Linked DNA regions of Macaca mulatta. Each later gene encodes a partner of the first gene's protein in a complex. Links are inferred from orthologs where the notes say so. Each region holds a gene or a part of one and is shown in the gene's direction. Other genes may lie near its edges.

The links.
Region 2: the proteins of THOC5 (region 1) and THOC1 are in contact, whole or in part, in a cryo-EM structure (PDB 7APK), measured with the Homo sapiens proteins. The link is inferred for Macaca mulatta from reciprocal best matches to the Homo sapiens genes THOC5 and THOC1. Residues at the interface, in NP_001002877.1 of Homo sapiens: Tyr52, Arg113, Lys120, Asp124, His127, Leu128, Gln131, Asn132, Leu134, Tyr135, Glu136, Met138, His139, Thr145, Lys146, Glu149; in NP_005122.2 of Homo sapiens: Glu60, Arg145, Arg146, Leu147, Ser148, Ser150, Gln151, Lys285, Met286, Leu289, Val296, Tyr297, Phe298, Leu302, Ser304, Leu307, Leu310, Gln311, Ser313, Asp314.
Region 3: THOC5 (region 1) and DDX39B share a complex: the UniProt entries of both Homo sapiens proteins name them as parts of the transcription/export (TREX) complex. The link is inferred for Macaca mulatta from reciprocal best matches to the Homo sapiens genes THOC5 and DDX39B.
Region 4: the proteins of THOC5 (region 1) and THOC7 are in contact, whole or in part, in a cryo-EM structure (PDB 7APK), measured with the Homo sapiens proteins. The link is inferred for Macaca mulatta from reciprocal best matches to the Homo sapiens genes THOC5 and THOC7. Residues at the interface, in NP_001002877.1 of Homo sapiens: Pro48, Asp51, Tyr52, Tyr55, Cys59, Leu62, Gln63, Met66, Ala67, Gln70, Phe95, Lys99, Leu101, Asn102, Ala105, His106, Arg108, Leu109, Gly112, Arg113, Gln115, Thr116, Ala119, Lys120, Val123, Tyr126, His127, Leu130, Leu133, Glu136; in NP_079351.2 of Homo sapiens: Ala21, Asp23, Ile27, Leu30, Val31, Phe34, Tyr50, Met53, Leu54, Leu57, Cys60, Glu61, Met64, Gly65, Thr67, Leu68, Val70, Tyr71, Asn74, Met78, Tyr81, Ile84, Tyr85, Ile88, Glu89, Ser91, Ile92, Ala95, His96, Lys98.
Region 5: THOC5 (region 1) and THOC2 share a complex: the UniProt entries of both Homo sapiens proteins name them as parts of the transcription/export (TREX) complex. The link is inferred for Macaca mulatta from reciprocal best matches to the Homo sapiens genes THOC5 and THOC2.
Region 6: THOC5 (region 1) and THOC3 share a complex: the UniProt entries of both Homo sapiens proteins name them as parts of the transcription/export (TREX) complex. The link is inferred for Macaca mulatta from reciprocal best matches to the Homo sapiens genes THOC5 and THOC3.

What each region holds. Positions count from the first base shown.
Region 1 is NC_133415.1:22,013,579-22,018,407, forward strand, and holds part of THOC5 (THO complex subunit 5), read left to right. Parts: intron 1-486; coding exon 487-600; intron 601-1,063; coding exon 1,064-1,161; intron 1,162-2,555; coding exon 2,556-2,702; intron 2,703-4,829. UniProt on the Homo sapiens protein: Component of the THO subcomplex of the TREX complex which is thought to couple mRNA transcription, processing and nuclear export, and which specifically associates with spliced mRNA and not with unspliced pre-mRNA.
Region 2 is NC_133423.1:71,546,160-71,550,988, reverse strand, and holds the end of THOC1 (THO complex subunit 1), read left to right. Parts: intron 1-2,218; coding exon 2,219-2,366; intron 2,367-3,346; coding exon 3,347-3,422; intron 3,423-3,931; coding exon 3,932-4,227; 3' UTR 4,228-4,239; downstream 4,240-4,829. UniProt on the Homo sapiens protein: Component of the THO subcomplex of the TREX complex which is thought to couple mRNA transcription, processing and nuclear export, and which specifically associates with spliced mRNA and not with unspliced pre-mRNA.
Region 3 is NC_133409.1:150,796,298-150,801,126, forward strand, and holds the end of DDX39B (spliceosome RNA helicase DDX39B), read left to right. Parts: intron 1-1,784; coding exon 1,785-1,916; intron 1,917-3,284; coding exon 3,285-3,394; intron 3,395-3,490; coding exon 3,491-3,635; intron 3,636-3,761; coding exon 3,762-3,909; intron 3,910-4,236; coding exon 4,237-4,253; downstream 4,254-4,829. Other genes in the region: MCCD1 (mitochondrial coiled-coil domain protein 1 precursor), read right to left, coding at 4,752-4,829. UniProt on the Homo sapiens protein: Involved in nuclear export of spliced and unspliced mRNA. Component of the TREX complex which is thought to couple mRNA transcription, processing and nuclear export, and specifically associates with spliced mRNA and not with unspliced pre-mRNA.
Region 4 is NC_133407.1:127,391,024-127,395,576, reverse strand, and holds the end of THOC7 (THO complex subunit 7), read left to right. Parts: intron 1-870; coding exon 871-928; intron 929-1,833; coding exon 1,834-1,900; intron 1,901-2,002; coding exon 2,003-2,072; intron 2,073-3,020; coding exon 3,021-3,088; 3' UTR 3,089-3,353; downstream 3,354-4,553. UniProt on the Homo sapiens protein: Component of the THO subcomplex of the TREX complex which is thought to couple mRNA transcription, processing and nuclear export, and which specifically associates with spliced mRNA and not with unspliced pre-mRNA.
Region 5 is NC_133426.1:130,143,590-130,149,029, reverse strand, and holds the start of THOC2 (THO complex subunit 2), read left to right. Parts: upstream 1-1,892; 5' UTR 1,893-1,897; coding exon 1,898-1,968; intron 1,969-5,440. UniProt on the Homo sapiens protein: Component of the THO subcomplex of the TREX complex which is thought to couple mRNA transcription, processing and nuclear export, and which specifically associates with spliced mRNA and not with unspliced pre-mRNA.
Region 6 is NC_133411.1:184,887,116-184,891,410, reverse strand, and holds the end of THOC3 (THO complex subunit 3), read left to right. Parts: intron 1-959; coding exon 960-1,121; intron 1,122-1,242; coding exon 1,243-1,343; intron 1,344-2,262; coding exon 2,263-2,426; 3' UTR 2,427-2,834; downstream 2,835-4,295. UniProt on the Homo sapiens protein: Component of the THO subcomplex of the TREX complex which is thought to couple mRNA transcription, processing and nuclear export, and which specifically associates with spliced mRNA and not with unspliced pre-mRNA.

The sequences.
Region 1 (4,829 bases):
GCGTTTTCCTTATATAACCATCCCTCTTTTTTTTTTTTTTTTTTTTTCTTTTTTTTTTTGAGACGGAGTCTCACGCTGTTGCCCAGGCTGGAGTGCAGTGGCGCGATCTCGGCTCACTGCAAGCTCCGCCTCCTGGGTTCACGCCATTCTCCTGCCTCAGCCTCCTGAGTAGCTGGGACTACAGGCGCCCGCCACTGCGCCCGGCTAATTTTTTGTATTTTTAGTAGAGACGGGGTTTCACTGTGGTCTCGATCTCCTGACCTTGTGATCCACCCGCCTCGGCCTCCCAAAGTGCTGGGATTACAGGCTTGAGCCACCGCGCCCGGCCTTCCATCCCTCTTATTTTCTTCATGACTTTTCTCATGGTTCTGGGCTCCCTCCAGTGCCTATGTTTGGCCCCAGATGAGGATGGGTCGGTGGTGAGGGACGGAAGGAAGCTGAGCAAGCGCCTGTCTCAGTGGGCTTTACTGTTTTCTTTGCTCACAGGCAATCGAAATTGAAGAACGGAGGATTCAGAGCTGTGTGCATTTCATGACTCTAAAGAAGCTTAACCGATTAGCCCACATCAGGTTGAAGAAAGGAAGAGATCAGACCCACGAGGTAGGAGTTAAAAGGTTTAATTAACCTTCCTCCTTTCTCCTCCTCATCCCCTTCTTTTTTTTTTGGAGACAGTCTCGTTCTGTCCCCCAGGCTAGAGTGCAGTGGCACAATCTCGATCTTGGCTCACCGCATCCTCTGCCTCCCAGCTTCAAGCAGTTCTCCTGCCTCAGCCTCCGAAGTAGCTGGGATTACAGGTGCCTGCCACCACCACCATGCCCGGCTACTTTTTGTAGTTTTTAGTAGAGATGGGGTTTCACCTTGTTGGCCAGGCTTGTCTTGAACTCCTGAGCTCAGGTGATCCACCCGCCTCAGCCTCCCAAAGTGCTGGGATTACAGACGTGATCCACTGCACCCAGCCCCATCCCCTTCTTTATTCCCTTTACACCTTCTCTTAGTTTGCTGACCCTCTCCTCTGCCCCATCCTTACTTGCCCTGCTCACCTCTGATCTTATCCTCCTTTCAGGCTAAGCAGAAAGTAGATGCCTATCACTTGCAGCTCCAGAACCTGTTGTATGAGGTGATGCACCTACAGAAGGAGATCACCAAATGTTTGGAGTTTAAGTGAGTTTGGGAGGACAGGGCTTTGGCACATGTGGTCTCTCGGTAATTGCTTTTTCCCGTGTAGCTCGCTGTAAGTCTGTTTCTTTTGTTTGTTTGTTTTTGAGATGGAGTCTTGCTCTGTCACCCACTCTGGAGTGCAGTGGCAGAATCTCAGCTCACTGCAACCTCCACCTCCTGGGTTCAAGCGATTCTCCTGCCTCAGCCTCCCACTACAGGCACCCACCACTACACCTGGCTAATTTTTGTATTTTTAGTAGAGACGGGGTTTTGCCATGTTTGCCAGGCTGGTCTTGAACTCCTGACCTCAGGTGATCCTCCTGCCTTGGCCTCCCAAAGTGCTGGGATTACAGGCGTGAGCCACCACACCTGTAAGTCTCTCTTTAAAAAGAAGTCTGATGAGCTTAGGAAACTAGGATCTGGGAGAAGGGCAAATTGCAAGGGTGAATGTGGGAGAATTGCAAGCCATAGTTTCAGGCGCATAAAGAATCTCAAAAGTCTCTTTGACCTTTTTGAGTTTTGAGCTCTGCACTTGGTAAAAAGCAGGTTTCTCTCTCCCTATCGGGGGTCTTTACATTACCAGTTTGATTCCTGGGTACATTGTATGGGAGCAACTCACTTCCAGTCACATCCTTTTAACCTTTTGGCCCAGTTTTCCTTTCTTTTTTTTTTTTTTCTTTTTTTTTTGAGACGGAGTCTTGCTCTGTCGCCCAAGCTGGAGTGCAGTGGCTGGATCTCAGCTCACTGCAAGCTCCGCCGCCCGAGTTTACGCCATTCTCCTGCCTCAGCCTCCCGAGTAGCTGGGACTACAGGCGCCCGCCACCTCGCCCGGCTAGTTTTTTGTATTTTTTAGTAGAGACGGGGTTTCACCGTGTTAGCCAGGATGGTCTTGATCTCCTGACCTCGTGATCCACCCGTCTCGGCCTCCCAAAGTGCTGGGATTACAGGCGTGAGCCACCGTGCCCATCCCTGATGCTGATTTTTGAGAGACATCTTTATCTGTTCCACAAAATCATTACCTAGTAAAAGTTAAATACGAATAAAGGTGAAATCTGCATCAGGTCTGTACTTGAGTTAACAATATTGTACCATTGTCAGTTCCTGGTTTTGACAATGTATAATGTGGTTAGATAAGTTAGTATCATTGGGGGAACTTGGGTGAAGGGTACATGGAGGAAATAAATTCTCAGTATTATTTTTGAACCTTCTTGCAGTCTTAAACTATTTCAAAATTAAAAAGGTATCAAAAACAAAATAATGTGATGCACTGGTCTGTAATCATCATGCAAATGGAAACTGACAAACCCAGAATATAGTGGAACTTAAACTACAATTTTACTTAAACTACAATTTTGTTTCCTGAGAACGGCAGCACAATGTCATGTTTTTGTCTGTAGGTCGAAGCACGAAGAAATTGATCTGGTCAGTTTAGAGGAGTTTTATAAGGAGGCTCCACCAGATATCAGCAAGGCCGAAGTCACCATGGGAGACCCTCACCAGCAAACACTGGCACGTCTAGACTGGGAGCTGGAGCAGCGGAAAAGGTAACATTTCCTCCTTCCTGACCTTTTTTTTTTTCTTTTTTGAGACGGAGTCTCGCTCTGTCGCCCGGGCTGGAGTGCAGTGGCCGGATCTCAGCTCACTGCAAGCTCCGCCTCCCGAGTTTACGCCATTCTCCTGCCTCAGCCTCCCGAGTAGCTGGGACTCCAGGCGCCCGCCACCTCGCCTGGCTAGTTTTTTTTTTTTATATTTTTTGGTAGAGACGGGGTTTCACCGTGTTAGCCAGGATGGTCTCGATCTCCTGACCTCGTGATCCGCCCGTCTCGGCCTCCCAAAGTGCTGGGTTTACAGGCTTGAGCCACCGCGCCTGGCCCCTTCCTGACCTTTTAACCATAAAGTGTCAGTGCTTTGTCATGACCCAGGATAACGCAGCAAAGCACTATGGAACTCTCAGAATAGTTTCTAAGACCAAATCCATTTTATGATTAATTCACACTGGATAGTTTAAACTTCACCAACCTCATCATGGATGGGATTGGGGTTATAATTGCTTAAGAGCTTTTTTTTTTTTTGAGATGGAGTCTCACTCTGTCTCCCAGGCTGGAGTGCAGTGGCGTGACCTCAGTTCACTGCAACTTCCACCTCCCGGCTTTAAGTGATTGTCAGTCCTCAGCCTCCCAAGGAGCTGGGTGGTAGGTGCATACCACCATGCCCATCTATTATTTGTATTTTTTGTAGAGACGGGATTTTACCATGTTGGCTAGGCTGATCTCGAACTCCTGATCTCAACTGATCTGCCTGTCTTGGCCTCCCAAAGTGCTGGGATTACAGGTGTGAGCCACTGAGCCGGGCCCCCCGTTTTTTTTTTTTTTTAAAGAGATGGCATTTCACTCTATTGCTCAGGATGGAGCACTGGGGCATGACAACGACTCATTTCAGCCTTGACATCCTGGGCTCAAGTGATCCTTCTGCCTCAGCCTCCCAAGTAGCCAGGACTATGGGTGCCTGCCACCATGCCTGGCTAATATTTTTATTTTTGTAGAGCAGGGGTCTCACTCTGTTACCCAAGCTGGTCTTGAACTCCTGGCTTCAAGTGATTCTCCCACCTTGGCCTCCCCAAGTGCTGGGATTATAGGTGTGAGTTACCATGCCTGGTCTCTCTTTCAAATTTTAATGCCGCCGGGCGCGGTGGCTCAAGCCTGTAATCCCAGCACTTTGGGAGGCCGAGACGGGCGGATCACAAGGTCAGCAGATCGAGACCATCCTGGCTAACATGGTGAAACCCCGTCTCTACTAAAAATATAAAAAAACTAGCCGGGCGAGGTGGCGGGCGCCTGTAGTCCCAGCTACTCGGGAGGCTGAGGCAGGAGAATGGCGCAAACCCGGGAGGCGGAGCTTGCAGTGAGCTGAGATCCGGCCACTGCACTCCAGCCTGGGCGACACAGCGAGACTCCGTCTCAAAAAAAAAAAAAAAAAAAAATTTTAATGCCGAAGACCTTATCTTTTGTACCATAAATCTAATTTTGTATTTTGCCTTTCCCCCCCTTATCTATAAATGTATGCCTGTGGCATAAAGCTTTGTAAACATTTTTTCAGGAGGTTGTGCAACATTCTAGTGTATATCCTAGTGTATAGAAAAATTCACAAAATTATTCCCCTGTTGGATTTTAGGTTGTTGCCATTTTTTTTTGCTGTCATAAATAATACTTCAAGTCACACTTTAGGTATAAACTTTTCTATACTAATAAAGAGTTTTATTTATTTATTTTTTTGACATGGAGTTTCACTCTCGTCGCCCAGGCTGGAATGCAATGGCATGATCTCGGCTCACTGCAACCTCCGCCTCCCTGGTTCAACCAATTCTCCTGCCTCTCAGCCTCCCGAGTAGCTGGGAGTACAGGCATGTTCCACCATGCCCAGCTAATTTTTGTATTTTTAGTAAAAGCGGGGTTTCACCATGTTGGCCAAGATGGTCTCTATCTCTTGACCTCATGTTTCGCCCGCCAGCCTCCCAAAGTGTTGGAATTTACAGGTATGAGCCACCACGCCCAGCCAATTTTTGTATTTTTTTTTTTTTTTTTTTTGAGGCGGAGTCTCGCTCTGTCGCCCAGGCTGGAGTGCAGTGGCCGGATCTCAGCTCACTGCAAGCTCCACCTCCCGGGTTCACGCCA
Region 2 (4,829 bases), on another chromosome or scaffold:
TTCCTTAGGAATTATGTGTATACTAGAAAACTTATTAAGAGAGGCAGTGGATAGAGTAGTGCTTTTTCTCTTAGGGGAGTTCCTGTTAGGACACATCCTGATTTCAAGGAGTATTCCTGTTAACTAAGCGTGACTTGGAATCACCCTTGTTTCAAAATATAAGAAAAAAAAAAAAAAACTCCCCCTGGCCCCCATTTCTCTCCAACTATTAGTTCTTTTCTCTCTACCCTTCAAAGCACAGTATCTCACAGCAGCTCTTAACCTATCCTGTTCCCCTTAGATAATGTTTTCTTCTCTTGGTGTCCATGAGAATCCAAATCCATGGTTCTTCTGTTTGCCCTTTGCCCTCGCTGCCCACTCCACCTCACATTCCATTTCAGCCTCCTCATCCTCTGCCTAACTCAAATGTTGGAGTAACATCAGGACTCAGTCTTAGCCTCTTTATCTAGAACCTTCTGGGTGACACCACAGTCTCATGGCTTTCAATAGGAATCGAAGAGTAGTGGTTTAAAGGCAAGAGGCCTCTTGTCAGAATGCATAGGTTCCAGTCCCCTCTACCACTTACTTATTAGACTAAGGCTAATTTAATAATTGAATCGCCATCCTCCCTTTCCTCATCTGTTAAATAGTAACAGTACCCATTTCACAGGGTTATTCTGAGGATTAAATAAGACAGTTCACTTTCAACCATACAGGGCATGTCGTTAGCACTCAATATTCGTTACTAGTGTGACCCTGTGCCCAGAGTTGTTAATTACTGTGACCTCTGTGACCTCTTCACTGTTTTCTCTAGCAGTGGTCAGTGCTCCATGTATCAGCCAGTGATCTTTAAAATAACTGTCCAAGTCTGATCTGCTTAAAATCTTCCAGTGAGTGCCTGTTCCAAAGTCCCTCCCAGGGTCTAAAAACCTCCTTGGTCTGGCTTATACTGTCCTGTGTAGCTATGCCTTCCCTCTGCTCTAACCACAGCAGGCCTGGTGCTCTTCACTTCAAACGTCTTTCCCTTTCCCGTCAGGACCTTCACACTTGACTGTCTCACTTGCTTGAACCACTTTTCCCCCAAGGTTCCCATGGCTTTAAGTCCCCCTGGAAGCTCTTCCCCTCCCTGGTCTCCTCTGTTGCATTCTCGTGGTTTTTATTTCATGGCACTTACCACTATCCAAATGAGAAGGTGGCACTCACCACCTTCTCATTTCTCGTTTTCCTCATCCTTATGAAATTATCTTATACCTTGTGTGTTTATCACTAGCGATGCCTGCCAACACATTCTGCATTACTGTGCCTCAGGTACTCTCCACAGCTACTGAGTGCCTGGCTCAAGTGTTTGTCAATTGAAAGAATATTTATCACTGTTACGTAAGACTAGATGGACTCATTCCTAAAGTGATAGTTCAAATTATTATCTCCAAAGAGGGTTTTGTGGAGAATAAGAAAAATGATATATATAATTGACAGTGAATTTTGAACATGCCTAAAATAATCAAATCGTTTAAACAGAGATATGTCAGAGAGGAAGGCTCTTAACTGTTCGGGCAAAGCCTCACAGCAGGTGTTGACTTGGGAAGAGTCCTCAATGTCTAGGGGTAGTTTTTGTTAAGTCTTCAGTGGTACCTGCACATCCTAAAGGTAACACACGCTCATTTATAAGAGATGACCAAATAAACCAAATTGCTATTCTTAGGGGAGGGAGAGACTTCCAATCCAAAACTCTTAAATGGAATAAATTGGTGGTTTGGTTTCTTCTGCAGCATTGCGTATTTCTGGAGCATTATCTTTAGAATTTCTCTGCAGTTTCTGTTTCTCACCTGATTGTATACCACCTTGATCATTGTTATACTTCATTAGGGAACAGTTCATGGATTCCGAATAGCCAGATGGATGATTCCTGTTGTACACATACTGCATCTAGCCAGTACTGCACACACTTGTTGACTTGTTAAAATTAAACAAAATGTATGAACTTTGAAAATGTGTTTGCTCATATGAGCCTGCCTCTTCAGACATTGTTGGTTCCTGTTATTAGTTATGTGTGTATCTGTTGATTTGTTATTATCAGTGGACAACATCCCGAAAAGTTCTTGAGGAATAAGATTCCAATCAAAAGAATGGTACTTTGAGCTATTTACCTTAAATATAGAATTGCACGTGGCAGAACTAAGCAGAAGGGAATACAGAAATACAAAACTATGAATTACAAGCCTGACATCTCTTTTTATAGGGCTGTGAACAATTCAAATTATGGTTGGAGAGCCCTGAGACTATTAGCACGGAGAAGCCCTCACTTCTTCCAGCCAACCAACCAGCAGTTTAAAAGTTTACCAGAATATCTTGAAAACATGGTAATAAAGCTAGCCAAGGAATTACCGGTAAGTACCATAGATCAACTTTTCATGCCCTTTAGTTGACATCATCTTTAAAACTGCTATCACTATGTGAGCAAAAAACTGACTTAATCATGTGAAAAACCAGTGGTCCACAAGCTCCCATGTTTTAGAATGAGGGAAAAACACACTGGAATATACATTTACAGGAAATACATGAGTTGATAAAGAAGTAACTGATAATTTTCTGTACAGCATGTAATTTAACTAAGGTTCAACAGGGCTGGGCGCGGTGGCTCACGCCTGTAATCCCGGCACTTTGGGAGGCCTAGGCAGGCAGATCATGAGGTCAGGAGATTGAGACCATCCTGGCCAACATGGTGAAACCCCATCTCTACTAAAATATAAAAAATTAGCCAGGCGTGGTGGCAGGTGCCTGTAGTCCCAGCTGCTGAAGAGGCTGAGGCAAGGGAATTGCTTGAACCCAGGAGGCAGAGGTTGCAGTGAGCCAAGATTGTGCCACTGCCCTCCAGCCTGGCGACAGAGCAAGACTCCATCTCAAAAAAGTATATAAAATTCATGGTACTTTAGGTAAACTGTTATGCACCTATACACACAGACAGGAATTTTTTCCTGTTTGCCAATGCAGTATATTGTCTTTTATCAAAGGTAAAAGATAAGAATCAGAAACTTTTAAGGACACTGTTGCTACTGGCTTCCTTGAGGCCATCTTTACTAAACCCTGGGTATTTGCAAATCCTGGAACTGTGCTTTTCACGGCCTTCCTGCTTCCCAGATTGGGGGTGGGGAGTCTTTCCAACTCTGGGGTCTTACCAAGTTCACTCCTTCTGCATGTGAAGACAGTCCCACTTAGGATCCTTACCTGACACTGTCTAACGCTCTCAGGGGTGAGGTTCTGGCACCCTGTACTTGGAATCTCACAATCATCTTTATCTAAACAAAGTACTTGTTACCGTACTTCAGAGGCTGGCATTCTTTCAAACATTCTTCTTTCTCATTTTTAGCCTCCTTCTGAAGAAATAAAAACAGGTGAGGATGAAGATGAGGAAGATAATGATGCTTTACTGAAGGAAAATGAAAGTAAGAATTTAATTTTCTTGGTTATTTAACAAAATTGAAGAAGATTGGGGTTCTTTGTTGATAGGTACATTATTTAATCGGCTTCGCAACTTCTCCCATTTTATCTCAACTGTTTCTGACTTACAGTGAGGAATGTAAAACATTGCTTAATAATAACTTTAAAAATACTACATTTTATGCAATAAAATTGGGGAGTAATGATACTTTAAAAGGGAAGGAAAATACATTTGAAGGTGACCCATACCTTTGTTAATTATTGGTTACTGGAAGGGGAGCAGTTCATTTCAGGGAAAGCCTACATAATTTTAACAGAGGTAACAGCTTTAGCTTTGATTGTTGACCATGCTTATTAAGAGTGGTATTCAGCTTATGGAGGATATAAAAAATAATTGTTTGCTTTTAAAATAAAGTCTACTAAAGGTGGTTAATAAAACTCATTGGCCCCATAGCTTTCCATTTCTGTTGTATACTTAGAATTGCACATAATTTATATTCTCTCCGTTTTCTAGGTCCTGATGTTCGGCGAGACAAACCTGTAACAGGAGAACAAATAGAGGTATTTGCCAACAAGCTGGGTGAACAATGGAAGATTCTGGCTCCCTACTTGGAAATGAAAGACTCAGAAATTAGGCAGATTGAGTGTGACAGTGAAGACATGAAGATGAGAGCTAAGCAGCTCCTGGTTGCCTGGCAAGATCAAGAGGGAGTTCATGCAACACCTGAGAATCTGATTAATGCACTGAATAAGTCTGGATTAAGTGACCTTGCAGAAAGTCTAACTAATGACAATGAGACAAATAGTTAGCTTCTTTTTTTTTCTTTTTATTAAAACTGTGATAGATTTTGTTACCAAGCAGCATTTGATAAGAGGTCCACTGGTTTTGGTAAACAATAAACATTTTTATAACAATTGTTGTACAGTCGGCTGGTGCTCTAAGAACAATAGAACACATATTGGCTCAAACCAGAGTTTGGGGAGGTTGGGAGGAGGGTGGGTTGAGATAATGACCTAAACGAAGTGACCCTCACAAAATCTATTTTTGTTAAGTAGATGTATTTATAATGAAGTTAAATAAGCATTATTTAGGGATATGTTGTTTCCTATACCAAATTAGTTTCCTGTGTGCTGTTAGTAGTTACAAAATTTAGCTATCCTGGAATCCCAGAATAACACTTTCTGAAACCATATGACTGCTCTGTTCTTATTCGTGCTTTCAAGCAGAGGATCAACAAATGATGGTTTGTTCTGCCTGCCACGAGTCTTGATCGTTAAAATTGTACTGGCACCCAGCTGTGCTCACTCGTAACTGTCTATGGCTCCAGCTACACTATAACAGCAAAGGTAAGGAGCTGCAACACTTCATAGCCTGCAAAGCCTGAAATAATTTACTATCTATCTTGTCCATT
Region 3 (4,829 bases), on another chromosome or scaffold:
GTGGATGGCGGCAGCGGAGGCCGCGGGGAAACCTGACCAGGAAGCTGAGGACCAAACCAGCCTCTTTTTCCGTTCCCGGTTTTTTTCCTGAACCCAACGCGTGCCGTGCCCCGTTTCCCCCCATATGTGTTGGGGAGGGGTGTCCTCAATGGGGTGGTAGATTTTTTTTTTTTTTCCTTAAAAAATTTTTTTGTTTTTTTTAATACTCAGAGGAGAGGGACATAGGAAAGGTAAAGTGGATGTAATCGGGTGGGTGTTAGGGTTTGGGGCTAGGTGGGGCCAATTGCATAAGCAGTGGAGTGTGTTCTCCCTGCAGTGTTCCTTCCCGTGGGATGATAACTCTTTAGCTTTATTTGGGGCTAGAATGAGATTTGAAGAAGGCCATGGAACTTCTCTTTAGAAAGCCTGCCTTGGCTGGGCCTGGTGGCTCACCTCTAATCCCAGTGCTTTGGGAGGCCAAGATGGGAGGATTGCTTGAGCCCAAGAATTTGAGACTAGCCTGGGCAGTGTAGTAAGACTTTGTCTCTACCAGAAAAACCAGGCGTGGTGGCGCATGCCTGTAGTCCCAGCTACTTGGGAGGCTAAGGCAGGAGGGTTTGCTTGAGCTTGGGACACGGAGGCGGCAGTAAGCTGTAATTGTGCCACTGTACTCCAGCCTGGGTGATAGAGTAAGACCCTGTATCAAAACCTGCCTTTTGGGATTGGGCTTCTGTTTTTTCCCATGACATACCCATCCTTTCCTATTTTGTCCTCTGGGTCTTAATATTAACTATCTTCCCCCAGAGAAGTACAAAAGTGTTAGGAAAGTTGTATTTTGGAGTTGTGGTAATTTCTGTCTTTGTTACTCTCCTCCCCTTCAGGGGGTTTTTAAATTTTAAAGATGAATGCAGTGAGGTATAATGGTGTGTGCCTGTAGTCCCAGCTATTCGGGAGACTGAAGCAGGAGGATCACTTGAGCCCAGGAATTTGAGGCTATAATGTGCTATGATTGTGCCAGTGAATAGCCACTGCACTCCAGCCTGGGCAACATGGTGAGATCCTGTCCCTTAAAAGCATATCTGCCTGCTCTGAATTTGGTTTTTTAATACCACTTACTGATACCTTCCCTGTAAACCTGTAGATGGTTTAATTCTTAGTGAAGAGACCAGTCTCATCTAAAATTATCCTGTTGTGGTCTGACGGCAAGTTACTTATCTTGAGTAATTTTTGTTTCTCCTTAAGTGGCATTTTGACTGTCCATTGCAGTGTTCTGATCTTAAAATTGACATCCACTTTCCTAATGTATATGAGATTCTCTTAGTTGAAGTAGGAGAATCAAATGGAGCAGTTGTCCTGCCCCCACCCCATGTTCTTACAAGCAGCTGTGATGGAGTTATTCTGACCTTGAGTCACTGCCTCCCATCATTTCCCAGACGTTTGGGCCTTGCTCTCCCTTTGAGAATCATCTTCCACATTTTTTCTTTCTTCTCCCACCTCTATTTGAGGTAGTGGCATCTGTGCCATTGGGTGGTTTCACTGCTCCTTTACTTCATTTGCAGTTTCTTTCCCATGATAGTTTTTAGTTGGGCAGTCTTAAAACCCCTCTGATAGGAAGGAAATTAGATGTAATGTGAGAGAGACCACAGTAAAATATGGGTAGTTTTGGGAGTGGGGTGGGGTTTTCAATCTTCTCTTTCCTCCCCATCCCCCCATGGGGTGTATTGGAGATCAGCTTCCTCCACCCCCCCAGGTTTAACCCCCCCACTCTGCCCTCCTCCCGTTCCCCACCCCTTCCTCCCCCCCAGCCAATGGAGATCTTCGTGGATGATGAGACGAAGTTGACGCTGCATGGGTTGCAGCAGTACTACGTGAAACTGAAGGACAACGAGAAGAACCGGAAGCTCTTTGACCTTCTGGATGTCCTTGAGTTCAACCAGGTCAGTTACACGTCCAGTAGGGGGATGAGCATTGGAGCACTCCAGCTGTAGCAGAAACCTGGATATTAAGTACACTTTTATTGAGGAAATCACATGTGTGATGTGGGAGAGAATTATGAGGGTGTAAACATTAGGGGCTGAGCATGAGTAAGGTGGAAGCTGCTTTTCTATTCTGTGGTTGGCATGGATATGTATGTCCTCAATAACCTCAAGGAAAATAAACTTCAAAAGTTAAGATCCTTGGCCAGGTACGGTGGCTTATGTGTGTACTCCCAGCACTTTGGGAGACTGAGGCAGGTGGATCACTTGAGTCTAGGACTTTGAGACCAGTCTGGGCAACATGGCGAAACTTCACTACCAAAGAAGAAAAAGTTAGCCAGGTGTGGTGGTGTATGCCTGTAGTCCCAGATACTCTGGTGGCTGAGGTGGGAGGATAGCTTGAGCCCAGGAGATTGAGGCTGCAGTGAACTATGATTGCACTACTGTGCTCCAGCTTGGGCAGTGGAGTGAGACCTTGTCTCCAAAAGTCCTTGAAAGGTTTTAGGAAGTTGTTAAAGGCTTGAAATGATTTTGGGGGGCAAGTTAGGGTTCTTACATGTTTAATTCCTCTAATAACTGCTTATTCAAGAGAAGCATTTGTGACTGGGTGCAGGGCAGTGGCTCATGCCCATAAATCCCAGTACTTTGGGAGGCTGAGGCAGGAACATCGCTTGAGCCCAGAACTTCAAGACCAGCATGGGTAACAGAGAGAGGCCCATCTCTACAAATAGTAAAAAAAAAAAGAAAGGAGTTGGGTGTGGTGGTGTGCACCTGTGGTCCCAGCTACTTGGGATGCTGAGGTGGAAGGATCTCTTGAGCCCAGGAGGTGTAGGCTGCAGTGACCCACGATTGCACCACTGCACTCCAGTCTGGGGGACAGTGACCCCATGTCAAAAAAGTGTTTCATTAATATACTTGTGAGTGGCCTATTTGCACTTAAAACTACTTTATAGAATTAGGATAGCTCCCTTAGGTTTAATGTTTTGGTGAGCAGGAATATCAGTTACCCCCCCAGATCTTAATTCTAGTTTTTTATCACTTTTTCATGAGGTGATCTCATCCTTGTCTCCTACCATGTCTGGCAGTTTTGGTTTCTGAACTTTGTGCTACCTCAGAGGCCAGCCTCCCTAGGGAAAAATCAGTGCTAAAATAAAGTTATATTTCCTCTTCTGCTCTAAATATATAATGGGGGAATAAGAGAGATGAAGAGGAATTCCTGAGAACGTAATTACTAGAAACTCCTCTCTCCCATGTAATGTCTCACACACACTATGGACTCCTATTCCCCCAATTCGCGACCCCCCCACCTCCCACCCCACCCCACAACAGGTGGTGATCTTTGTGAAGTCTGTGCAGCGGTGCATTGCCTTGGCCCAGCTACTGGTGGAGCAGAACTTTCCAGCCATTGCCATCCACCGTGGGATGCCCCAGGAGGAGAGGTGAGTTGAAGATGGGAAAGATATTTTGTGTCTTTGGGAGAAAGACAGTTGAGAGAAGGGCATCTCAACATTTTTAAAATTTCCTTTCTCACAAAGGCTTTCTCGGTATCAGCAGTTTAAAGATTTTCAACGACGAATTCTTGTGGCTACCAACCTATTTGGCCGAGGCATGGACATCGAGCGGGTGAACATTGCTTTTAATTATGACATGCCTGAGGATTCTGACACCTACCTACATCGGGTAAACCCCACAGGCTGAAGAAATCCCACTCTCCCATTCCCTTCTTTTCTATTTGTACATCTTCATCCCTGCCTCTGGATCTCTTTCCTCTTTGATCTTCCAGTGCTACCCTCTGTCTCCTTCCAGGTGGCCAGAGCAGGCCGGTTTGGCACCAAGGGCTTGGCTATCACATTTGTGTCCGATGAGAATGATGCCAAGATCCTCAATGATGTGCAGGATCGCTTTGAGGTCAATATTAGTGAGCTGCCTGATGAGATAGACATCTCCTCCTACAGTGAGTACTGATCTCATGAAACCCTTTAGGTCCTCCCTGTTCCTTAGTGTGTTTGTCCTAAATCCCATCACTTAGATCATTGGCACCTGATGCATAATGGACACTTGGCTGGTTCATGCCCCCTGATCTTTGATGCTGTGTTGGGATGCTTTCCTGACCTTTATGTGGGGTCTCTGTCTTCTCTCATCGTATTACATCCCTTCCCTCACCCCCACATCTGTTCTCTGAACCCACATAGTACACCAGCATCTGCATGTGCGCTGTGTGTTCCTGCCTTGCTTTCCCCTTTTCATGCCTTATTCTGACCATGCTATGTTTTCTCCTTAGTTGAACAGACACGGTAGAAGACTCGCCCATTCTGGAATGTGACCGTCTGTCCTTCAGGAGAGGACACCAGGGTGGGGGTGAAGGAGACACTACTGCCCCCACCCCTGACAGCCCCCACCCCATGGCTTCCATCTTTTGCATCACCACCACTCCTGAACCCCCATTTCTGATTTGTCAGAATTTTTTTTAACAAAACTAAAAATGAAACACATGTGTCTGTGGTATCTATAAGTGCTTCGTCCCTTTATTGTATTTGGGGTGAGGTATTTTAGGGCATGGTCCAGCGTAAATTCCTGTAAGGCCTGGGTGCCCTGCCTGCTGTGAGATTAAAGGGGAATGGGACTAAGACTGCAGAGCCCTGGCTCCCCCACTACCTGCCAATTGCCCGCGATTTGTGGGGGTCTCTTCCACTTTCTCTGGTCTGGGAGCGGCTGGGGTGTCTCTGATCCCAAGGCCGCTGGTGGGTGGCACATGGATTTTCAGTGCCAGAGGGTGCTGTGGGCACTAGGGGAAGCTTAGGCGCCTCCTCCCAGGCTCTCTCGGTGCCTCCTCATCTGTTCCTTCAGCTTCTGGATCTTGAGCACCAGGGCTTG
Region 4 (4,553 bases), on another chromosome or scaffold:
TAGGGCATGTATTATTTTGTAATTCAAAAAATTTGTGTTAAAAGAATCATACTTTTATTGAATTAATATGCTCAGTTCTAAAACAATGAATGTTCACTTTTTAATGAACTAATTAAGATGAAGCTTAATTTCCTCTTTTTACAAGTTGTTTTTTTCAGTTTAAAATGTGTATGGTGAAGTTTTGGTGCCCTATTTACAGTAAGATATACCAACTTAGTATCAGTTCAAAAGTCATTTAAAAATATTTGGAGTGTTTTCGTTGGTTAATGAGGTTTTTAAGTAAATCCTGCCACTCATCACTCATCACTTCATAAGAAAGGTTAACAGAAGTTACATGACTTATCTTGGAGGTCTCAGTGGAGCAGAAAGTAGAACCTGAATTTTAAGTTATTTGCACGTTTCTGAAATCTTAACTTTTGGAATGAGTGAGAAGTGTAATTTGCTGTTGACTAACAACTCAAACTAATGGTAGGATATATTTACTGATTTTATTTTATTTTATTTTATTTTTTAGACAACTAGTGAGTAAGATCCTTCTCAGAATCAGTCTATTTGATAATCAATAATAACTTAAATTTGCTTATGCTTATGCTGACCTCTTATATTCTGTCCACGACATATAAATGGAAAAAAAGTGGGAGCTAAAACCCCTGTTTGGAACACTTTTGATGTTGTGTATCATTATAATTATAACTCAGTCAACTAAAACTGGCAATACTCATCTTTCAATGATTTCATTTCTTGATATACTAGGGAAGTGATTAGAAGAGGTTTGTGATATTATACATTTTTGTTGATATTATACATTTTTGTTTTGATAATTCATATTCAAAAAACCCTTAGTTTGATAAATATTTTTATGTCTTTCAGAATATGATGCTTTGGCAAAAGTGATTCAACACCATCCAGACAGGCATGAGACATTAAAGTAAGTGTAGAGTTTTACTTTGAAAGGAACTAACCTTTATACATAAATGCTCATAAACTACCCTAGGCATTTCATTTTTTGCAGAATAAATATGTTTCAAAAGGAGGGGTCAGATCTTCAATATTATATTTTCCCATACTTCTCTGTTAAATTTTATTTCCCTCTGACCTTACCACTTATATGTCTGAAATAAATGCATGTAATATTCATTAATAGCACAATGGACAAATAGAATATGGTCTTCATATATTAAAATACTGAATTTCAGTTAAAAACAATAAACTAGTTATGCCCTTTTAAAACACAGCTCTCAAAACATAGTGAAAAGACACATAATAAATTTTAAATTATTACTACATTCCTGAAACAAAGAATAATAACCATTTATAAAAGTTAGAACCCCCTTTCAAATATTATATACCAATACTGTATATTATTCAGAGATACAAGTATATGCATAAAAAAGAATTAGAATGATATAGTAGTTGCCTGAGTGGGAGGTAGAGGAGATAAAACAGCCCAGGATAGAGGTCTAGAGGTAAGATTCAAAGGATATTTCAGGTTAATTGGCAATGTTTTATTTCTTTTACCAAAAAAAAAAAACCCTTGAAGTTAAGCTTCACAATATGTATCATTTCTTGGGTCTTGTTATTTTATTATCTGTGTTTTTCTGTACTTTAAAAATGTATCCAAAAATGTAATTTTAATGAAAGTAAATCCATATTTAGAAGTTAAGAAGAAATCATCCCCAGCTTCAGAAGTTTCACCATAGTGGAGTGTTATAACTCCTTATAAGTCTTTTTTTTTTTTAATTTTAAAAATCCTATCTAGTAACTAAAAAGTTAGGTATTAATTGTAATCTCTTTTCCCCCATTCAGCAAAATGTAACACTGTTTTATTTCCAGGGAACTAGAGGCTCTGGGAAAAGAATTAGAGCATCTTTCACACATTAAAGAAAGTGTTGAAGATAAGGTATTTGCACATATATTTAGCCTTTGTGATCTGTCTATCTGTCTGTCTATATATCTATATATATAGGTCATCATTTGTATAAATTTTTTCTTGTTAACACAGCTGGAATTGAGACGGAAACAGTTTCACGTTCTTCTTAGTACCATCCATGAACTTCAGCAAACATTGGAAAGTAAGTAGAAATAGTCTCAAAATAAATGTTTATGAAGATTTTTTAAATGACCCAGGAATGTATCTTTTGAAATATGTATCTTGGAGAGAGAGTATACCTTCTATTTCTGAACAATATAGCTGGATGACGTTAGAAGGTACTCAAGTTCAACTTTCTTGAATATATGTAGAAAAGTCATAATTTGTGGTAATATAGGATTTAAAGATATACATAGTGGTTTAAATTAAGAAAAATTCAAGGATGATAGATTTGGAATCTTTCTTGGTTCACTGTAGTTGATTACTATAATGTAATAACTCAGGACCCAGGCAGGCAATAATAAGGAATCAGTACATAAGAACATTTGCATACCCACTGAGTGGTGGGTACTTTGGAGAACTGGAGACTTGCTCTTTATATTCACTGTAGACAGTTAGAAATTTTTGTATTACCTGATCTTTTGATTGTTTTAAAGAATAGCCTAAGACCCAGATTTTTTTTTTTTTTTTTTTGAGACAGCCTTCCTGTCACCCAGGCTGGAGTGCAGTGACACAATCTTGGCTTACTGCAATCCCCACCTTGCAGGCTCAAGTGATTCTCATGCCTTAGCCTCCCAAGTAGCTGGAATTACAGGTGCATGCAACCACGCCCAGCTAATTTTAGTATTCTTAGTAGAGATGGGGTTTTACCATGTAGGGTAGGCTGGTCTTGAATTCCTGACCTCTAATGATCCACCTGCCTCGGCCTCCCAAAGTGCTGGGATTACAGGTGTGAGCCACCAGACCCTGCCCAGATTTTTTTTTTTTTAAAGTGAAATCTATCACATAAATTTGAAAGTTTGATTCAACTAGTAGCCATCTTTGCTTTAATTGTATTGGCTAATACAGGATAAACATGTTTTCATGTGTTCATTGAATATAAAACATAGGCAAACTTGATTAAGGTTTTATGTTTCCTTCTCAATTACAGATGATGAAAAACTCTCAGAGGTAGAAGACGCTCAGGAAGCAAGCATGGAAACAGATCCTAAGCCATAGACAAGCTAATCGCCCACCACTCCCAGGAATATTGAAATAGCTACGTGACCATAATGTGTTTAAAATGTGGTGTGCTCTTGAGATATTTAAAGTTTTGGCAGTAAAATACTCTGTTTTTAAATATGAATGTGTATTTCATTCATATTTCCTCACACAAAGGAAAATGACTTCAGTATAGATTTGTTTTTATTAAAATGCATTTTTTTATTCTTAAGTGGTAGGAAGCAACATCCAAAAATGCTTAATAAAATGCTTTTAAGCTGGATATGTTTGTGCTCATTAATATTCCAGGTAGTTTTTAACTGGTAACATTGATTGGCTTACAAAATAAGTTGAAAATTGTTAGAAGTTGGCATTTCTAGGATGTACTGGGAAAATGGGCCAATTTCTGGAAATGGTTACACTTCTGAAAATGGAGTCTATGAAGAGGCTTTAGGAGGGCCATGAATCTGTGAAATTACATGCAAAATGTTTGTGGTGTATGCTTATTGTATAGAGAGGTTCCAGGCTGTTAAAAGTCACTGGTATGAGAGGTAATTATAAGATGCAAAGTAAAATAATGCGCATTACTTTCTATATCTCGCCTTAATATGTGAGGAATATAATTCTCAAATGTTTTGTTGATATCTTTTCTCTACTGTTTTGTTCTTTAGGAATCATTTTCAGTAGAAAAAAATGTACTGATAAAGTGAAGAGTTGTTTGAAGTAAATAGTTTGTTAAGATTGTCTTGCATAGGCCAGGCGCGGTGGCTCACGTCTGTAATCCCAGCACTTTGGGAGGCCAACGCAGGCAGATCACCTGAGGTCAGGAGTTCGAGACCAGCCTGACCAACACGAAGAAACCCTGTCTCTACTAAAAAAAATACAAAATTAGCCGTGTATGGTGGCACCTGCCTATAATCCCAGCTACTCAGGAGGCTGAGGAAGGAGAATCATTTGAACCCAGGAGGCAAAGGTTGCGGTAAACCAAGATTGCGCCATTGCACTCCAGCCTGGGCAATAAGAGTGAAACTCCATCTAAAAAAAAAAAAAGATTGTCTTGCATAAAGAATTTATTATCTTTTTAAAAATTAAGCTAAGGCTGAATCACTTGTGATTTTCTTAAGTATTTCATTATACGTGTAATACTTGTTCGGCTCCATCCTTATCCATTTATTTTAGTTAAGAAACATGACACTTTGCATGAATCATACCTTAATAATGTTATATTTTTGTAATTTTAATAATAATTTTTATCTTAAAAATGAAAGTTTAAAATTAGCGCAGTTGTAGTCATATTAAAAGTGTCATAATACCTATAAATACTTCCTCTAATTTCATCTGGCAAGTCATGGGAGAAATTTCTTTGCAGAATTGCTATGCTGTGACAAATGTTTCTATTTTCCATTATTAGTAAAAATTATGAAACAACAATTTGCCTATATTGACTCAGAATTAAAAATCAATTTTTTTTTTCTTTTCTGAG
Region 5 (5,440 bases), on another chromosome or scaffold:
CAGGGGTGAGCCACCACACCCGGTTCCAGAGGTGTTAACTCTAAATACGTCAGTGGGTGTTTTCCCATCACCATGGCACACGTTTATCTACATAACAAACCTGCACGTCCTGTACATGTAGCACATGTATCCCAGAACTTTAAATTAAATTTAAAACAATAAATAAGAAAGAAATTGCCACAACAGCAGCCATCCACATTGAGACAAGACCCTTGACCAGCAAAAAGGTTATAACTCTCTGAGGGCTAAGATGACTGTTAGCATTTATTAACAATAAAGTATTTTAAAATTACAAAAAAAAAAAAAAAAGAAAAACACGATGTTGTAGTATGTCAAAAAATTGCATAAACTTAATTTAATCGTGAAGGAATATCAGACAAACAAATACTGAGGTACAATCTACAAAATTACTGGCTTGCACTCTTCGAAAATGTCAAGGTTGTGGAAGACAGACTGAGGAATTCTTCCAGATTAATGGAGATGTGATAACTGATACGCAGTCAGAAAAATTTTTTTTTGTTGTTGCTATAACAAGCATTATGGAGGTGGGGTGGGAGCACATGTTGTCAGGACTTCCTGAGACTGTGTCATGAAAAAAAAAAAAAAGTATTATTGGGGTGAGCAGGGTGGCTCACGCCTGTAATGCTAGCATTTTGGGAGGCTGAGGTGGGCAGATCACTTGAGGCCAGGAGTTCCAGACCAGCCTGGACAATGTGGTGAAAAACTGTTTCTAGAAAAATACAAAAAATTTAGCAGAGCCTGGAGGTGTGCATCTGTAGTCACGGCAACTCAAGAGGCTAAGGTGGGAGGGTAGCTTGACCCCAGGCAGGTAGAGGCTGCAGTGAGCCATGATTGTGCCATTGCACTCCAGCCTGGGCGATAGAGTGAGACCCTGTCTCAAAAAAGAAAAGAAAAGAAAAGAAAAGAAAAAAAGATCAAATTTGAAATATCTGTAGATTAAGGAATAATACAGTGTTTTTTTTTTTTTTTTTTTTTTTTTTAAGATGAAGTCTCACTTTATTGCCCAGGCTGGAGTGCAGTGGCTCCATCATGGCTCACTGCAGCCTCCGCCTCCCGAATTTAAGCGATTTTCCTGCCTCAGCCTCCCGAGTAGCTGGGATTACAGGAGCGTGCCACCACGCCCGGCTAATTTTTGTATTTTTAGTAGAGGCGGGGTTTCACCATGTTGGCCAGGCTGGTCTCAAATTCCTGACCTCAGGTGGTCCACCTGCCTCGGCCTCCCAAAGTGTTGGGATTACAGGCGTGAGCCACCGTGCGCGGCCCATTTTGTTTTTCATGGTACTTAGTCCCTAGTTTAGCCTAAGGTAACAATGATAGCAGGCCAACGCAGCGTGTCAGAACTCGTGGATCCATGTTTCCCACGGTTAGGTCGTATCCCTCGCATTAGCGTAATGCTTGGCACACAGACAATGGCTACCACCTTCCCGATTATTTCCTTTTATCTCAGCAGTCAGCAGGGCGTAATGTAATTTATCTGCTTATATTTATGTCTTTCCCAAAGACTGTATTATTTCTCTATCCCCAGTGTCTAGCACATATTAGGTGCTTGAAAAATGCGTGTTTGTATTAGTGGTTGGGGTAGATACTATGGAAGAAGATAAGGTCTACTTGTTGGCCCGTGGATGGCATTTTTCTGTTCTAATGGAAAGGCTGAGGACTTCGGACGGCGCAGCCCGCGGAGTAACTTCGCAAAGGAGCCCGCGAGTCTCCACGTCGTTGGCTGCCGAGCCTCGGGTTTCCGCTGGGTGGGGAGGAAAGTGGGGCGGGAAATCGAAAAACGAACTCTCAGCTCCCGGCATTCCTCGTGGGCGGTGCTCCCCTTTGACCCTTCGCTCGCGTGCTACACATCCGGGCCTCTGCTACTAGTGAGAGGAAGATGGCGGCCGCGGCTGTGGTGGTTCCTGCAGAGTGGATAAAGAACTGGGAGAAATCAGGGAGAGGCGAATTGTGAGTGTTCGGGCCGGAGGCAGGCGCACTGCCGGGCCGGGCCAGGGCGTCAGCTGCACTCTCACCTGTGGTGGGAGGTTGGGGGGGGAAGATGTACCCCCTCCCCCACCCGGGCGGCGGGCGTGGATGGTCGGCTAGGAGTTTCGAACTCGGGGAGAGGTGCTGTTAACCGCCGCGGACCTCTTTCCTTCCCTGGCCTCCCAGAAATCGCTACTGCCTGCGGTAGCTCGGCTTTCTTTAGCCTCTTAGTAGAACTCCTGTTCCGCCCCTGCAGGTCTCTGCGCTCCCTCTTGGTCTCTTTTTGTGTCCCCCTTTTCGCTTGATCTCACTGGGCTCCTTTATCTTTATGGGGCTGCGCTGGGGCGATTCGGACTTTCCATCTCTCTCTGTCCCATTTCTTCACTCTGCACCCGTTGGACTCCGCAGTTTGGAGCTTGGCGCCTCCTCTGCCTGAAGTCCGAGGAGGGCGAACCGTCCCGGATTCCCTCCCCTCCTCTTCGCCCGCTGCCGCGAAGCCCGGGGCGCCGCGAAGAACCCGGTTTGGCACCTCTCGTCCTCCCGGGGAGCGGTCTCTTGACTGTCCCGGCCTCGCGTAGCGCCGTGGGGAAGTGTGGCAGGGATTGCCGCTTTCCCTGAAGAACTACAGACATTTCTTTGCTCCGTCTGTTCACCTTAGAGCTATTTAGGGTTGGATTTAACTTTCGTCATTAAATGTTCCCTAAACCCCATTTTATCCTGGGACTGCAACTAATTCTGGCAACTCTCCAAGCTTCTCGAGTACCTAGGATAACGCGTTTCCTTTAGTCGTGAAACTTTTCCCCCGTAACGCCGAAAACAGTAATTTGCCATACCCCTAGTCTTCTCGCCCCCACATTAGAGCGCTCCCTCCTCCCCTCTCCCTGAAAAAAGTCGTTTAAGCAGCAAAGCAAACCTCAGATTTAAGAAAACATATTAATAACAGCTTCTCATTTCCTTCTCTGGATCGCTTTTAGATGCTAACGCTCAACCCTGGATCAAATTAACTCTTGTTAGCCATTTTTGTCGTCCTTGCCCACCCCTCTCCATTTCTAGTAGCCAGTTTACCGTGGCTCATGCTAACGATTCAGATCTTTGTAACTTCATTACTTGGAACGAAACACGAGGAACGCGTTGCCGGATCCCGCGCTTGTAATAGTGCCAGCCTATGTGGCTTCCTCCCCCGCACCCCCCGCACTGCTGTATGAAGTCTTAACAGTGCGAGCGCTAGAATTCCCTAAATAAGCGGCTGTCTTAGCCACTTAACTAGCCGAGTGACCTTGGGTAAGTTCCTTAACCACTTGGACTGTTTCCCCTTGAGTAAATTGGGAATAATAAGTACTCTACTCAAAGGATTGTTGTGAAGACTAAATAATGCCTGTAAAGCACTTGGCTTATAGTAAGTGCTCAAGTGATAGCTATTAAAAGTAATATTATTCCAACCTTTAGATATTTAAACTTCTCAGGACAGCTCATGCACTTAAAGTCTGTACCACTCTGGTTAGCAATTAATTGGTCTCTGACTCCTTCATGTGTTTTTACTCTTGCACTGTAATGAATTGAGAGGCCCTTGAAAGATAGGGACTATGTCTCATATTTCTTTCGGTTCCACGCACGCCCACCCCCCCCCCCCCCAGCATATGCTTAGAGTGCTTATTGGTTTATTAATTGTCAGAGAAGACTATTTGATAAACCTTCGTTTTTAACTGTAATGAACATTTTACAAATCCTCGTACATGCTAGTTAACAAATAGCTATCAAGTTTGTTAGCTAGTTGACAAATAGCCATCACGTTTGATAGCTAGTTGACAAATAGCCATCAAGTTTGGGGAAGGCAAGATGGGAAGTTACCCAGCCAGACCATCATCTTCATCCATATTAGGGTAATCCACCAAAACTCGTAAAGCAATTCACTGTTTTGTTTACTTTTAAAGCCAGCTCATTTATTTAGGGGCTGTTATCTTTGTAGATGGCTCAGCTTCCTCCTTTCAGCTACTGTTTTTTGACAGTTTTGCTTTTCTTTTTTCCCCTTGAGACGGAGTCTCGCTCTGTCGCCCAGGCTGGCGTGCAGTGGCGCGATCTCGGCTCACTAACCGCTGCCTCCCGCGTTCAAGCGATTCTCCTGTCTCAGCCTCCCTGTCTCACCCTCCCGAGTAGCTGGGACTACAGGCACGTGCTACCACGCCCGGCTAAGTTTTTGTATTTTTAGTAGAGACGGAGTTTCACCGTGTTAGCCAGGATGGTCTCCATCTCCTGATCTCGTGATCCGCCCGCCTCGGCCTCCCAACAGTTTTACTGTTATTGCTCCCACCTTAGAATGAGTGGTATTAGGGCTACAAGGTGAAATTCTGCTTGGCTTCTGACTGGTAATGGTTGGAGAAAAAGTGATGTAGGAGGTCGAAATACCTAGAAAAAATGGAATTTTAGGTTCACATTATGTGTATTTATATAATACATGCTACCTGTCATAGTTCTTATATTTGAAGAGCTGCTTCAAAACTGTTATTAGAAGCCGGGTGAGGTGGCTCACGCCTGTAATACCAGCACATTGGGAGGCCGAGGTGGGTGGATCACCTGAGGTCAGGAGTTCGAGACCAGCCTGACCAACATGGAGAAACCCCGTCTCAACTAAAAGTACAAAATTAGCCAGGCGTGGTGGCACATGCCTGTAATCCCAGCTACTCGGGAGGCTGAGGCAGGAGAATCGATTGAACCCGGGAGGCGGAAGTGGCGGTGAGTTGAGATCGCAGCTGTCGCACTCCAGCCTGGGCAACAAGGGGAGCGAAACTCTTTTTCAAAAACAAACAAAACAAAAATAACAACAAAAAAACTGTTATTAGAACTTACATGTATGTAGTTATTGCATGACTTGTGGAATGTGGATTGAATTATAGTAGATCCAAATCAGTATAGTCAGTTTTATGATTGCATTCTGTTACAGGAAGAGAGTTTAAAATTGTGTAACATAATAAGCTATTTTAAATAGTTAAACACATCACCATTCAGTACTTAGTTTCAGTTTATTTGACCTGTTTTCCCTCTATGAAAACTTTGTTGCATATAGCATGTCTTTGGAGTTTTTGTATCTTCTTAAAGATAGGTGTTAGCATTTTCATATTACTAGGCAGAATACGTGGTGGTGCAAATATATTACAAAAAACATTTTTCCTTTGTCTGAAAACAGCCTCTGAAATATAAAAGAGCAACGGGAAAATTTAAAAATGAAGGTAGTGTGCCACCAAATTATTAGTGAATCTATTTATAGATTTGGCGTTTAGAATATGACCAATATTTAAAATTATACCTTGGGTGAATTTTTCCTTTTTAACAAGATAAATTAGTAGATAAGCTTTAACTTGACTGAAAATTACCTTTTTAAAAAATAATGTGATGTATTTCATGAGGTTGTTAATTCATTTCTTGTCTGTCAGTTCTTACCACCATAAATCTTTTCTGG
Region 6 (4,295 bases), on another chromosome or scaffold:
TGAACTCACATTGATAACTTCCAATTAAAATTGAGGACTCCGGGGATTTTATTAAACCTCATCTATATTACAAATATATTTCTTCCCTTCCAAATTGAGTATTCTGGTTCTCAAGGGCACAAGGGATCATAGAATTAGAATATCCGATGGTTACTTATTACCTGTATCCCGTGGTAAACATACAGATGTCTCTGAATAACAATATTACTGCCACTACCACCAATGTGATGACTTGAAACAAAAAATGTTTTTGCTTTTTGCATACACTCTTTGCATTCTTCCCCCATTAAAAAAAATAGTACTATATGTTGTAGGAGTGTGCAGCTGTTACATATTATACCCTCCCTTTAAACCATGTATAGTTTTTGCAAGAAACTCTATATTCAGTGTTCAGCACCAGTCCTTATAAGTCTTGAGTCATTTTTTTTATTGAAGCTCATTCTCTAGTTAAGATTCCTCGGGAAGCGTTCATGGGAACATTATTCCTGGAGTTTTTATTACAACTTATTTATGTACTTATAAAGCTTATAGATTTAATAAAACATTATTGTGCTTATTGTTTGTATCGTTATATTTCAAATTCAGTTTTGCTGGATGTAAAAATCCTTGACTCATTTTCTTGCTTGTGTATCTTTCTTAAATATGGTACTCCATTTTCTTTTGGCAGTAAGTGTTGCTGTCAGAAAGCCTGATAATCTAATTTTCTTTTTCTTTAAAGTCCACTAATTTTACTAGTCTGTGTCTCGATGTTGGTTGCTTTGGTTCTGTAGTCTCATGTATGTGTTGTGCTTTTTAAATAATGTAGTTCAAAATCTTTTTTTATTTCAGGAATATTATCTTGAATGACAGTTCTTGGTGGTGGTGCATTATCTTTGCTTTTCTTCTTCATTGTCTCCTATTATTATTTTAGCACCACAGTCCTCTTCTGCAGTTTGATCACTGTCTGTCTTGTTTCTCAGCTACCCAGAACTGAAGCCTGTGCAGTCCATCAACGCCCATCCTTCCAACTGCATCTGTATCAAGTTTGACCCGATGGGGAAGTACTTTGCCACAGGAAGTGCAGATGCTTTGGTTAGCCTCTGGGATGTGGATGAGTTAGTGTGTGTTCGGTGCTTTTCCAGGTAAGTAACTCTATCAGCACTTTCCTTGTTGGGTACATGAATTTTATTTTATTGTGAGTGACATTGTTCCCTCCTCTTATTTGGTAATTCTCATGTCTCTTCTGTCCACTCTGTATCATAGGCTGGATTGGCCTGTAAGGACCCTCAGTTTCAGCCATGATGGGAAAATGCTGGCGTCAGCATCGGAAGACCATTTTATTGACATTGCTGAAGTGGAGACAGGTAACCTCATGAGAATCTACTGTCTTTCACCTTTGGCATTCAGGACTTCTCTTGTGATCTCATCTCTGCACGTGACTGCTTCATCAGCATTATCATGAATGAATTTGTCTCCTTTAGACAAGTGTGTTTATGTTTTGACTGTCACTGCTGGGTAGTGAGGAAGCAAAGAGTTAAGAAATAAACAGGCAGGTCTGAGGAAACTGATTTAGAAAAATATTTTGATTTATTTAAACTTTAAACTACAGAGTAAGAGGAAGAAAAAAGCATCACTTGTGGTCCCACTATCTGAATACCACCTTTTTAAAAATGCTGTGGTATATTTCTCTTTATCTGTTGCCTGTATATGAACTTGAAAAAATATTTTTTTAAATTTAAGGAATTATCAAGTTTTTGCTTTAAAAACAACAACAGAAGCTGGAAATAGAAAAATGGGAGGAGAGTATTCATTTTACAAAAGAATTTCCTCAGATTTGTTTTTTAATGTTGCTGTATTGTTTTCGGAAATCTGTGACACTCTTCGTAAAAAGGTTAAAACTACATAGAAAACTTTGAAGAGGAAAGTAAAGAACTTGAAATTCCAGTATGTAAAGAATGTCTGTGTTAGTCACGTTGTGGTGAACATTGTCCAGCATCCAGCCATGCAGATCCTTCATGTAATTGCGTGTCCCTGTGACTCGGTGACACTTTTCCTGCTCAGCGACCTGCTCTTGAGTTAACCCACCTGTGCTCAGAGCCTGCTCTGCCCCCTGCTGGCTTGTGGGCTCTCTGTGCCTGGGGGTTCTCTGTAAAATGAGGTAGTAGTTGTATCTATCTTATGGGATTAGTAGGTGAATTAAACGAGTTAATACAGGTAAGTACTTAATGAATGTGTCCTTCGTTATGAACGTATTGATTGGTTTCTCTCTATTGTTTTCTATAGGGGACAAACTATGGGAGGTACAGTGTGAGTCTCCGACCTTCACAGTGGCGTGGCACCCCAAAAGGCCTCTGCTGGCATTTGCCTGTGATGACAAAGACGGCAAATATGACAGCAGCCGGGAAGCCGGAACTGTGAAGCTGTTTGGGCTTCCTAATGATTCTTGAGAGGGGATTGTAGGTAGAGGAGGCCCTGGCAGAGGTCTTCCTTCATGTGGTTAGTTTGGTCTGTTCTCTTGGAGTTGGTGGGCACCCTAAATATTTGTAAATTGGTATAAATTGTAAATGTCTATGGTCAGGCTGCCCATTCCAGTTCTTTTGCTTTTTCTGTGTATTAGCTCTTTCCATTCTTTGCCCCCAGCGTGAGTTAACTCGTGTGGACTCTGCAGTGTAGGTAGTGACCCCAGCATACCTTGTCCTCTGGATCTCCTGTCTTCTCTGCTTTTGGGTACATGGTAGACTTTGTGGCGTTTGATACAACTTGGACAATACTTAGTTTGGAGGGAGGGGAATGGAAAGGTATGGAAAATTTTTTAAATAATTAAAAATATATATATATAATTTTGAGAATTGAGCATTTAATAAACTGACTTTTTTTATTATGGCACTTCTAAGACTTTAAAAATTATGTCCTTATGTTGCAGTTTTGTATTTTTTTTTTTAATTTGAGAAAGATAATTTAAATGTTATAATTCTGTCATTTAAATTCCCAACCAATAACCCTCTGAAATATAGGGACAAAGCTAATTGAATGACTGAACTAAAATTTTGGCTCTGAGCTTCCTGGTGGCAAAGTAAAGAGGGGAGTAAGTCAGTTAGCTTTCTTATTGAAAAGAAAAACACTTAGTGGTTCCTCATGGAGAGCAAAGCTTTATTAGTTCTTCCCTTTAAAAAAAAGGGCTTGTGTTGGGGAGGTTGTTACCTAAGAGCAGTAGTTTTTCATTATATTGTAATTTTTTTTGGTGTTAAAGCAAATACTGAGGCATACAGAAATACGTTGGTAGAATATTTTGGAAAAAGGTAAGCAAAAAGAAAAATTACATTCCTAGCACCAAGAGGTAACTACTATTAGAATTTTGATGTATATCCTTCCAGAAGTTTTCTTGTGTCCATGTTTATGTATAAAAACATGTTTATCTTCATACACGAAGGGTAGACAAACCAAGTATGGCAAGATAAGTTAGGCAAGGGGCACAGCACCGTGTTGGGGAGTATTATAAACACTCAACAAGTCTTGACAGATATTTGTAGTTACTGGGCATTCTCTACATGCCTGCTACCATAAAGAACACTTTTGTCAGCTGTTACTCAGTGTTTGCAGCAGCCTTCTGAGGTGGGTGTTATCACCATTTTACTACCTCAGGGAGTTTAAGTAACTCAGTGTTACTCATCAACTGACTGTATTCAGATCTGGGTTTGTTTAAAGGCCCACGTGCCTTTGTTTGCAATGGGCTACTCTGTTTCTGCAAGTGTTGCCATTCCCACTTCACAGATGAGTAAACCATGGCCATGAGAAGTCAGCTGTTGGGCCATCTCAGTGAGTGATGCGTTGAGCAGGTGCAGTAGTGTGCACAGTAGTGTTTGCAGTAGCGTGCTCACCTTCCCTGGTGAAGGGTCTTTTTAGTTGCAAACCAACTTGCCACCTCAGCGGCAGAAGTGGAATGTTGTTCATGTCACTGTGAGTAAATTTTGATGCATTATTTCTTGTTTTTGCAACCATCTGTCATTCCTGTGGTCTCTGCCATGTTTATATATTCCCTCTAGAACTGGAACCAGATGTTGAGGGTTTGGGTTACATCTTAATATTTGATTGATTCCCTCTTCCATCCTTGTGGATTTTTTTCTGCTCTGGGTTTATGTAAATTACTGATCCACACTGCCTGTCACTTAAACAAGATGAAACTTTGCATTTAACTAGTGGGACACTTACAGCAACAGGAAAACACATATCCATGAGCAAAGAGTCCCAGTGTATGTGAGTTTTTGCAGACTTTCAACGTCTTGACACCATCTCTGTGCCTTGACTTTGAAGTACTG